3 linked regions of the Struthio camelus genome follow. The protein of the gene in region 1 interacts with the protein of each later gene in a pairwise test. Links are inferred from orthologs where the notes say so. Each region holds a gene or a part of one and is shown in the gene's direction. Other genes may lie near its edges.

Region 1 (3,747 bases):
CGGCGCAGCCCAATCCAGGCACGCTCGGAGACGCGAACCCGCTCGGTTCGGCTCACGGGGGTCTCCTGGCACCCCGACCGCTGGCCGCAGGCTCCGGGGCGCCCCGGGACCGCACACAACAACGCGGCTCCCCAAAGGGCCGGCGAGCAACGGCCTCAGCGGACCTGAGCCCGGCTCCCGGCACGCTCTGCCGGTGAAACCGGGGCCGATACTCACGTCGGGGGAGCGGAATCGTCCGGTGAAGCTCTTCCGCCTACCTGAGCCCAGAGGGTGGCTGCCGTTAAGGGGAAAAAGCGCCCCCCACCCAGAGCGACCCCGGGCGTGAGCAGGGGGGAGAAGCAACGGCATCACCGGGGCCGGTGAGGAAAGGGGGGGTGGGGGAAGAGCGTGGGGAGCTGCCCTTCTGCAGGCTGAAACCACCCCGGAGAACCGGGGAGGAACCGGGCCCGGTGGGACGGCGGGTGCGAGGGGCCCGGGCAGAGCGGGGAGCGGCCCCCGCAGCGGGGGGAGCGGGGCGCGGGGCGGCGGCGGCCCCCCCCGGGGGTCCTTACGAAGCTGAGCGCGCCGCCGCCGCCGCTCCTCTTCTGGCCGTCGGCCGAGCGGTGCGGACCGGGCCCGGTACCGGCACCTCCGGGGGCCTCGGCGGCCGCCGCCGCCGCCGCCTCGCGTTCGCGCTGCTGCTCCTCCTCCATCTTGCGCTTGAAGAGCTCCAGGAAGCTCCCGTCGTTGGCGAAGACGTTCACGCCGCCGCCGGGGCCGGGCGGCGGCGACGGGGCCTCCCCGTCCTCGCCGTGGTCGGCCATCTTGTCCGCCGCGAACGCCGCGCCGCGGGGCACCACGGGAAACGCCCCGCGCCCGGCGATGACGCGCGCGCGGGGCACGACGGGAAGCTCCGCCGCCGCCCTCCTATAGGGGCCGCGGGGGGAGGGTGACGCGGAGGACGGCGGGAAACGCCCGCCGCTAGGCACGACGGGAGCCGCGCCGAGCTGACGGGGCAGGCGCGAGGGCGCTGTTGCCAGGCAACGGGCGGGCCGTGAGAGCCCCCCCCCCTCCCCGCGGCTGCTCGCGCCGGACTGTCAGGCTCGGGGCCAATCAGCGAGGAGGCGCGGCAGCTGCGGCCAATCGGCTGCCGGCGGAGGCGGAGCAAGAGGGGGTGGGCGGGCTCGAGGAGCCGCCCCGGGGAAGAGGTAGGACTTGCTCCAGCCAATCCCGCCCGGCGGGCGTGCGAGCTGGCCAATCAGCAGCGGAGGGGGGCGGGGCCGGGCTGTACCACCGCCGTGCGGGCCGCGGGGGAGGAGTGAAGAGCGGGGCCGCCATAACGGGGAAAGGCCTCTCCGGTGCGGCCGGGCGGCGGCGGCCGTGATCGTGGCTTCCCGCCGGAGCGGCTCCCTCCTGCCGGCGGCCCCGCGGCGGCGGCCGGTGCCATAACTCCCTTCTTTTCCTTTCTCCCCCCCCCCTGCGGCGGAGGCGAATGGTGCGGCCCGGCGCCGGGGCAGGCGGTGCGGTTCGAAGATGGCGGCGGCGGGGTCCGGGTGGGGGCCCGAAGCGGACGAGTTCGAGGACGCCCCCGACGTGGAGCCGCTGGAGCCGACGTTGGCCAACATCATCGAGCAGCGGAGCCTCAAGTGGATCTTCGTGGGGGGGAAGGGCGGCGTGGGCAAGACCACCTGCAGGTGGGGCCGGGGGGGGGGAACACCGGGCCGGGCTGGACCAACTCGGGTGGTGGGGGGGGGAACCGGACCGGACCATTTGGGAGGGGGGAACCGGACCGGACCAGCTCGGGGTGGTGGGGGGGAACCGGACCGGACCATTTGGGAGGGGGGACCGGACCGGACCATTTGGGAGGGGGGACCGGACCAGACCAGCTCGGGATGGGGGGGGAACCGGACCGGACCATTTGGGAGGGGGGACCCGGACCGGACCATTTGGGAGGGGGGACCGGACCGGACCAGCTCGGGGTGGTGGGGGGGAACCGGACCGGACCAGCTCGAGTGGGGGGGACTGGACCAGGCCGCACCACTGGGGATTGGAAGAGGGGGACCTGGCCAAGACCACTTCGGGGGGGGTAGGGGGACCCGGACTGGACCACCTCGGGGGGGGGGGACTGGATCAGGCCACTTCTGGGGGGGGGATTTGGACTAGACCACTTTGGAGGGGGTTAGGGGGGATCCAGACTGGACCACCTCGGGGGGGGGGACTGGATCAGACCACCTCAGAGTGGGGGGACGTGGACCAGACCACTTTGGGGGGGAATGGACTGGACCACCACTTGGGGGGGGACAACACCAGACCAGGCTGCACCATTGGGAGTGAAGGGGGGGGCTGGGCTGGACCACTTTGGGGTGTGGGGGGCAGGCTGGTCACCCTTGGGGGGGAGAAGGAGCCCCCCTATTGCTGAGGGGGGACAGTGGCATCATAGGGCCACCCTATGGGGCAGGACCGGGTGCCTGGAGGGGGTCCCGGTGGCAACAGCCCACCCCGGTGACACCGCGGCCCCCCTCCTCCCCACCTGCCCCCCCCCCCAGCTGCAGCCTGGCCGTGCAGCTCTCCAAGGTGCGCGAAAGCGTCCTCATCATCTCCACCGACCCCGCGCACAACATCTCCGACGCCTTCGACCAGAAGTTCTCCAAGGTCCCCACCAAAGTCAAGGGCTACGACAACCTCTTCGCCATGGTGAGTCCCCCGGCGGGCCCCGGCGTCCAGCCTTCCCCCCCGTGCCCCCCCCACCACCCTCCAGCCCCTCACCCAACCTTTCTCCCCCACCCCGGCCCCCGGCAGGAGATCGACCCCAGCCTGGGGGTGGCCGAGCTGCCCGACGAGTTCTTTGAGGAGGACAACATGCTGAGCATGGGCAAGAAGATGATGCAGGAGGCCATGAGCGCCTTCCCCGGCATCGACGAGGCCATGAGCTACGCCGAGGTGATGAGGTGAGCGGGGGGCCGGGGCGGTGCAGGGCCGATAGGGCCCGGGGACGGCCCCCTGCCATGGGGAACGGGGCGCCGGGGACCCGCCGTCCCCGCTGAGGCCCGGCGTCCTCGCAGGTTGGTGAAGGGCATGAACTTCTCGGTGGTGGTGTTCGACACGGCGCCCACCGGCCACACGCTGCGGCTCCTCAACTTCCCCACCATCGTGGAGCGGGGCCTGGGCCGCCTCATGCAGATCAAGAACCAGATCAGCCCCTTCATCTCCCAAGTGAGGATGAGGAGGGGCGGCTGCGGGGCGGCGCCGGGGAGCGGGGCTCGCACGGGTGGCGCCGGGGAGGGCCCTCGGGTGGCACGCGGGGGACGTCGGTGTGTGGCACCAGGGAGACCCCACGCGTGGCACGAGGGGGCTCTCACGCGCGGCACCCGAGGGGCCTCGGTGGTGGCACCAGGGGGGCCTTGCGGGTGGCACCGCGAGGACCCTTGGGGGTGGCCTCGGGGAGACCCCCCCCCCCCCGCGTGGCGGGAGGGGATTCGCACACGCGGCACCCGAGGGACCTCGTGGGCGGCGTGAGGGCGCTTGCAGGCGGCACGAGCGGGCTTAGACCTGCCGCGCGCAGGGGGGACCTCGCGGGTGGCACCGCGGGGACCTCGGGGTGGCCTCTCCCGCAGATGTGCAACATGCTGGGGCTGGGCGACATGAACGCCGACCAGCTGGCCTCCAAGCTGGAGGAGACGCTGCCCGTCATCCGCTCCGTCAGCGAGCAGTTCAAGGACCCGGTAAGGGCCCGCCGGCGCGGGCACGGGGGACGCCTCCGCTGGGGCG
Region 2 (3,747 bases), on another chromosome or scaffold:
ACTTTCCACAGCAAAATCTTGCTTGTCTCATAGTATAGTCATACTGCCTCACCTGCAGTCTCATGCCAAAACTACTGTATTATTATGCCTAAAAGATTGTAGAAAATCAGTAGAAGTGTACTGTATATTTTTAAAAATTTGCTAGCCAAATAAAAAAAAAGGTTTCAGAAGGTTTCAGTTTAATTATTTTCAGCAAGCTGGAATGAAATATTTTATTTATTCTTAGGATTTACTATTTTTAATTTTTTAATTTATTTATTAAAATGTACATACTATTTTAAAGCTATATTCTCTGTGTCGAGCTATGTCTGAAGAGACTCTGGAGCTTCTTAAATAATTTATTTATAAAATGGGGAATTCATACTTCACTGTCTTCCAAAGGAAAGTTTCTTGGTCAATACCGAAGCCTGAAAAGCATACAGAAAAATAGTACTTATCTGTGAGGATGAGATCAGAACTTCAGATTTTTAGCACAGTATGTCTTCCACGCAGATAGCATGGTAGATTTTTCACCCGTGTAGAATATTGCATGATTTCTTGGTGTTGGATATCTACTTAACCTGAAATACATAAAACCTGCAAAATCTGTAATGTTTAAAAACTATTATTAAGTCTTTCAACTAGTTATTCATGTTTCCTTCACTTACAGTAATGCCACTTATGCTTAAATTACTTCACCAAACTTGATAAAAACCTCAAAGATCTGCCAAAACTCTAGGTTTAAAAAAAAAACCACACACACACAGTGAGATTACAAAATGTAATTGGCTATTCAAAAGATAAATTTCCAGTATGCCTCATGTGTGCTACTTCAATATTTTCTGTAAATCATTACCTTTTGTTTTTTCTTTGCCAAGAAGTAGCAGAATCACAGGCACAGAAGACTGGTTTTTCAGTCCAAGAAGAAATCAATGACCATCAAACGTTTCTTGTTACTTCATATATACAAATCCTCTTTCTTCCAGCAGACATAGTAGCAAATGGCACAAATGGCTTTTTTTTTTTTTTTCCCCAGACAACCCACGAATTGCATCACTACACTGATCCCCCAAGTAGCTGCCTTGGCTCTGTATTTCTGCAAGCTTTGGTACCAAATTCAGTTTCTAATGCTTGATGCCTCTTTCTCACTTAGGAACTCCTTGGTGATGTGCTTTCTCCCAGATCACCCTGTCAAGACCCGCGTGGCCTGGCCGGCCACTTTTCTCGAGCCGAGCGTTCAGACAGGGGACGTTCCAGAAGGCCTAAGCGCGCTCCATTTCACGTGACACTGTTTGTAACGCTCAGTTTTTGATAACCGTATGCTCTGACTCTTGTGCAGAGCACTTGAATCAGTAACCACTAGCCACCCAGCCACTGGTATCCTTTGACGTTACATCATAGTTATTAGCTGCTATAATTAGTATATTAAAAATACCTACTTGCAAGTCTGCCAACATTGTGATAACTCTATGCCATATTTTCCTAGGACATAGTCAAAGCAGCTCCCTAAGTCAGCATCCCCCAAAGACGCATACAGTACTGCTATTCTTGAGCTGAAAGAACTAGCCCTTCAGTTTGTATGTTGCACCCATAAATGGCCTTATCTAATACACCACTGCCACAATGAAATACTCCATTGGAGAGAATCTGAATCCTTCATGAAGACATCCTCCTGAGGTCTTGCATGAACACAGATCCTATTAAATCTCTGCAGAAGAGAGACTGTTGCAAAAGGGTCCGTTTGCAGCACTCCTTTCTTTCCGGCAGCACTTTACTATTGTGGCAAGTGTCTGTGCAGCGCTGTCTTGCAGCATGCTAGATCCTGAGGGCAGTGTGGAGCACAAGGCTTCCTCTTCCTTCCCCAAAGTTTTCCTCATCCCTCTAGCCATGCTCCTTGCAATAGCAGCGCTCCTGCTCTTAGCATTTTCCGCTACTCAGCAGAAAGAGACTGATTTTTACACTTTCAAAGTTGTAAACATCAGGGGCAAGCTAGTCTCTCTGGAGAAATACAGGGGCTCGGTAAGTCTGCATGGAGATGGGCAGCTCTCACACTATCACTAATCAGCCAGTCCTTGCATGTCTGCAGAAAGCAATGGGGGTGGAGAGATTGTACATTAACATGATGCGCGCATGCAGATGGATTTGTTTTTATGACTTCTTTAACTGATCTGGAGTGTTGCCTGCATGCTTCCTTTAATACCATTCCCTAGGTCTTTGCACTCTGTAAATAAAACGTTTGCAGCCTAACCTCTCTGTGTGGCGGCATCTCTTCCTCGTGCGGGCTGCTCCCTGTATACGTGGCAAGCAGGGAATGCCTGCCTTCCATTCAGCAGGATGAATTGCACTTGACTGTGGCTGCTAAAACATGAAGCACAGGAAGTTTGTACCTTTGTACAAATTATTTTTGGAACTTATTTCCGCTTTTAGTAAACATTTAGTAAATTCTTTTTACCTAAATCCCATTTCCCTTTGAAGTTTTGCATCAAAAGAGATGGAATTTAGCCAGTGATTAATGGAGTTAAGAGTTTTCACCATAATTAGTAAAAAAGTGAGAGACTTGCTATGTACTATTTTAATATCAGTGTACAGTGAAATTGTGGAAACACCATGCTATTCCCCTTGTAGTCAATTTTAGCATGACAGAGAACAGTATGAAGGTCAGATAGACACTGCATATGCTTTTTTACCTTTTAAATGTCATTTACATATTAAATTAAGGAGTTGTAGACACAACTTTCCTTCACAGTTTGAGAAAAATTGTCTTGAATGTAACTTGATTTTTTTTTAATTTGGTTTATGGAAGAATGAAGAGAGGTTAGCACAGAAAGGGTGGCATAGTATCTGTAGCTCTTGTAGCCATATTCACAAATTGCAGAAGCTAAAATCAAAGCATAAAAGCCACCACCTCCATCCTTAGTGCTCAAGTGACACATCTTATGTGCTACAGCCAGGCCAGTCCAACAGCTTCCCAAAAAGGAAGGCTCCACTCTTCTCTTTCACCCTTAGTCTCAGCTCCGCGTTTCCACTTTCTTTGTCACTAATCCAAAGTGGTGGGTGACCAAAATATTTGCGGGAAGAAACAGAAGGCCTACAGTAGGGGATGTATTTCTGAGCTCAGAAGGGAGGGCTACTGGTGCATTTGGACCAAATGAGAGGCCTCGATCTTATCTGGTCAAAGTCCTCCTCTGCTTTTGTTCACAATGCAGTCAGAGAACAGAGCAGGTGGGGAACAGATCCAATGCACACACAGATATCTGTTTTTGAGAAACTATGGAACCTGTTTAATATTAAGCAATATTTACCTTTTTTAAGAGTTCCTTCCAAAGGCTCTGTCAATAAATCCTGTCACTGGGGCATGTTTTGGGTGCAGGTCGCCTGCAAATCTTTCTAAATAAGCAAATACCACCTGTATCTTCTCTAACGCAGGGTGAGAATCAGCATGGCAAGGACTAAAGGGGGAACTCTGAGGTTTCCCTTGTGGAATTCCTTATAGCCCTCCTGGCAGAGACAGGGGGTGTTTGTCCCCTCCAGAAGAAGCCTTAGGGCCTGCCCCAGTATCTCATGACTCCTCCAGGTCAGGGGTGCGTGTCTGAATCTCGCCTAGTGCCATGCTCCAGGGGTGCCTGGTTTCATAGCAGAGGACTCTAGCACTAGAGGAAAGGTATTGCCATCAGTGAATATTACTCCTTGATCTTTGCTAGACCATAAGGAGAAAATAAGCATCTAATTTTTTCTGCATCTGCCTATCCCACTGCAAGAGCATTCATT
Region 3 (3,747 bases), on another chromosome or scaffold:
ATCTGAAAAACTATAGTTATGGCCAGGACTCAAAAGGGAGCTTTTCAGTTGTTGCTGTCGTTCAAGAAGGAATTTGCTGTTATGCCACACTACTTTCTAATTAAGTTTCATCCCAGGTCACTGAGGAACAAGAAGCATTCAGAATTTCTGTTAAAAACAAACTAAGAAAAAATCCACTGATTTTGTCACAGGCTGCTTGAAATATTTTTCAGACTTGACAAGCTTTTTCTGAGAATTTATCTGTTAATGCAACATCCTTTAAACTGTTTCACCCCATGGGTTGAAAAAGTGCTATCTGAAAGAGTGAACGAGCTGCTTCCCATAAACTGCGCACGGGTGAGCTACGAACACCTGAACAAAGCGGAAGGCAGCCAGAGAAACAGAACAAGACGTTTTAAGCAGCGTCTCAAGTGCTTAAGCATTAGACCCCCATTTAGCCCGCTTTGTTTTTTTCGCAAGCCGCCATTCCCGGCGCCGCAAAGCCGCCCCGCGCAGGGGGAGCCCCGCGGCCACCGCCTCGCAGGCTCCCACATACCACGTACTCGAGCGGCGAGAAAGCCTCCCCCGCGGCACCCGCGCTCCTCCACTTCCCCCGCAGAGCCGCAGGCCGCGCCGAGGCCGAGGCCGCGGCGCCGCGCCTGTAACCGCCGCCCGCGCGCCCACACGCACGAGGACTAACGGCCACGAGCCGTCGCCGCCGCGCTCTGCCTGCGCCGCCCGCCCGCCGGTTTGAGCCCCCCCGCAGAGCGAGAGGGGGGAACACCCCCACCCCGGCCGACAAGGGCAGCCGGGCACCGCAGCTCGTCCCCTCCCCCCGGCGGAGCGCGCGCCGGCGCGGCCCCGCGGCCGAACGCTCGCGAGACGCCCCCGCTCGCTTCCATGTTGCCACGTTCAAAGCCGCCGGCGAGGGGAGCGTGGCGGACACGCGCCCCCGCCGCCGAGCACCGCCCCCCACCCGCCCCCGCCGCCAATGGGAGGTGAGCAGTGCCCCGCCTCCTTCCCCAGGAGCGCTCAGCGATTGGGTGGCGTCGGCGGGGGGGGCGGGAGGACGGGGAGCGGCGGGCGCTGGTTGCGGCCGCAGGACTCTACCGCACGCAGCGCCCAGGTAGCGGCGGCGGCGGTTACTGACTCATCCTCGCCGTCGCCCCGCTCGCCCCACCCCCACGCCCGCCGCGCGCGCGCGCGCACAACCGCTGCCTCTCGCTACCTGACAGGAGGTGCCATGGCCTCGCGCAAGGGCTCCAAAGGTGCCGGCGGCAACCCCAGCCCCGGCTCCAAGAGAGGTGAGCTGCGCGGAGCGGACGGGAAACGGGGCCGTCGCCTCGGAGGGGAGCTTCCCGGGCCGAGCCGGCACGGAGGGAAGTGGGGAGAGGGTGTAACCGCCGCGAAGTAGGGCAGCGCTGCGGGGAAGGGCGGCGGCGGGCCGAGGAGCCGCCGCCGTAGGGCCGCCGCCGTGGGGGGGGGGAGGGGGCCGATGCCGCCCCTGCCCGCCGGGGCGGGGGCGAGCCCGCTGGGGGAGGCGAGGAGGAGCACGGCCGCGCTGCGCCCTGCTCTCCGCCTTCGCTTTGCCCCCGCCAAGCGGTGGAGCCTCCCCAGCCCCTGTCCAACGCCCGCGCTCGCCGGCCCTGCCCGCGGGATGCTGCGGGCCGTGGCTGCTCGGCCGGGCCTCCGAGGGGCGGCCGCCCGGCAGGAGGAGGAGGAGGAGGAGGGGTGGGGGGCCGGGCCGGGCCGGGGGGCTTCGCCGGCCCCGCGCGCGTTCGGCCTTCCCTATGCGCTGCGTGTCAGCTCCTGGAGGCAGCGCGAAGCGGGAACAGATGGTTTAGATCTGCTGCTCGGGTTTCGGTCGTCCCCCTTCTCAGGAATTTAAGCGGAGGAGAAACTTGCTTGGTCTGGCTGAGGAGGTGGAGGCGCACCACTCGAAAGCTTCCCCGCCCCGAACGGCTGGGCTGAGTGATGGGCAGGGTCCTCAGCCCCGAGAGGGTCTTTGACATCTGTGGGTTTCTCAGGTTTGCAGGGAAGTGCACGTTGATCTTTTCTTCCGGAGGCCTGGAGCAGAACCTGGATGCCCAGTATCTCCAATGCTAGTGAAGCAGTTGTTATTCATGTGTTTAAACTCAGATGCTGGGACATCTTCTGATCTAAGTTTGTTGGATCTATCATAGATGTAGTATCTAACTCGAAGGTTCACTTAAGTGCAGAAGCAGGTAGGAGTAATCTTGAAAAAATGCAGAGAGAAGGGGTTTTTTGATTATTAGTCCCCTTTCCCACCCCCTAGAATAAATAACAGCTTGGCAAATCTGACTATTAATAAGGTAGTATGTATTGACAATTTAGGTATGGAATACTTTGTATGCACTAGGTTTTTTTTTAAGAATAGAATATACTTTAATGAGAGAAAAGTATATACTTATGGAAGTCACTGTGTAATCATGCATACTACAGTAATTAAAGGAAATTTTAACAAAGATTAGAATGCTTGCTAATTATAACTTATTTGGTTTTGAGCTTGACTTGCACAGAGCCCTAGTGATGACAAATTGTAATGACACTGAAGTAGTATCTGTTGTTACCCTTTCAGCAATAGTATGGATGACAGTGCTAATGAAAGGATGAACATATAGGACCAATTCACCAATCACATGGTGAATTGAGAGAAAAAGATTTCAAATGTCAGTTAAGCGTGAAAGAGTTCAGAGATGATGTTACAGTGGTTCAGAGAATTTTTTTTAATTTTATTTTTAATAAGGTCCTCCTTTTTGGCATATGCTGTAGAGTCTATATTGTACTTTTTCCTGGACTAGCGGTACTATTTGATATTCATGAGTCAAATGATCGTCACCTACTATTAAGCAGCATGGCAAATACAGATTTCCAATAAGAATGTATTAAGAACATGCATCCCTTGTACAATTTTGAATACTGCAAATGATTCAGACATTATCACTTTAAAGGTTAGTCAGCATTTGAAAAATAAATTTATCAGCAATCTAAGTCTCTGACTGAGTATAAAAGTATTATATAGATTTTTATATTCAGCATGAGCAAAATTTTTTCTGTTTGTAATAAAGTACCTAATTTGTGTAGTTGCACAGAGGACGCATTATTGCTATATATAAAGGTGTAAAGCAGTGTGAGTCTAAGTGTTGGTCACAATCCCAGAATGTAACCTAGTAAATTAAGACCAATATTTTGTTAGTTTCAGCTACTCCTAGTTAAAATCCCTTGGACAGCTGTAGAAATTATGGCATGAAGATGATGCTGTTTTCATAGTTGCTTAAGAATACCATGCAGCTGCAGAAAGAGGTAATGGATGATGATTCCTGTGTGAATGAAGAACAGCTAGAGGAGCAGACGGTCTTCACAGCAGCCAATAAGTATTCCACATTTGAGAGCTGTGAACATGAAATGAGGAAATAATTTTGAAATGTCCAGTAATTAAGACTGTGAAGCATGCAAACCTCAAGTCTGAGGCAGTTCCTGATAGTACTGTAGTAATCACTTTTACAGCAGTTCATTGGAGAGGACTTGGTTTCTTGCCAAGGCATTGCTCATGACTGTGAAACCAGTGAAGATGACAGTGCATCTAAAAATCTCAGCACCTAAGGAGGTGCCTGAATCTGAATTTAGTAATCTGCTTTTAGGTATCCACATTAGAAAATGCTGATGTAAATCTTAGAATTTCTAAATCTGAACTAGTACTAATTGTAGTGTTTAGAAAACTGTTTTCAGATTCATTGAAATGACAGA

Evidence for each region.
Region 2: the proteins of GET3 (region 1) and GPX7 interact in binary tests that used the Homo sapiens proteins (3 or more experiments, as listed by UniProt). The two-hybrid records come from large-scale screens. The link is inferred for Struthio camelus from reciprocal best matches to the Homo sapiens genes GET3 and GPX7.
Region 3: the proteins of GET3 (region 1) and ASPH interact in binary tests that used the Homo sapiens proteins (3 or more experiments, as listed by UniProt). The two-hybrid records come from large-scale screens. The link is inferred for Struthio camelus from reciprocal best matches to the Homo sapiens genes GET3 and ASPH.

Annotation. Positions count from the first base shown.
Region 1 is NC_090972.1:4,315,236-4,318,982, reverse strand, and holds the start of GET3 (ATPase GET3), read left to right. Parts: upstream 1-1,245; 5' UTR 1,246-1,512; coding exon 1,513-1,673; intron 1,674-2,525; coding exon 2,526-2,673; intron 2,674-2,778; coding exon 2,779-2,927; intron 2,928-3,041; coding exon 3,042-3,192; intron 3,193-3,593; coding exon 3,594-3,701; intron 3,702-3,747. Other genes in the region: TRIR (telomerase RNA component interacting RNase), read right to left, coding at 552-803.
Region 2 is NC_090949.1:31,612,372-31,616,118, forward strand, and holds the start of GPX7 (glutathione peroxidase 7), read left to right. Parts: upstream 1-1,015; 5' UTR 1,016-1,791; coding exon 1,792-1,998; intron 1,999-3,747. UniProt on the Homo sapiens protein: It protects esophageal epithelia from hydrogen peroxide-induced oxidative stress. It suppresses acidic bile acid-induced reactive oxygen species (ROS) and protects against oxidative DNA damage and double-strand breaks.
Region 3 is NC_090943.1:134,405,159-134,408,905, forward strand, and holds the start of ASPH (aspartyl/asparaginyl beta-hydroxylase), read left to right. Parts: upstream 1-1,072; 5' UTR 1,073-1,222; coding exon 1,223-1,283; intron 1,284-3,747.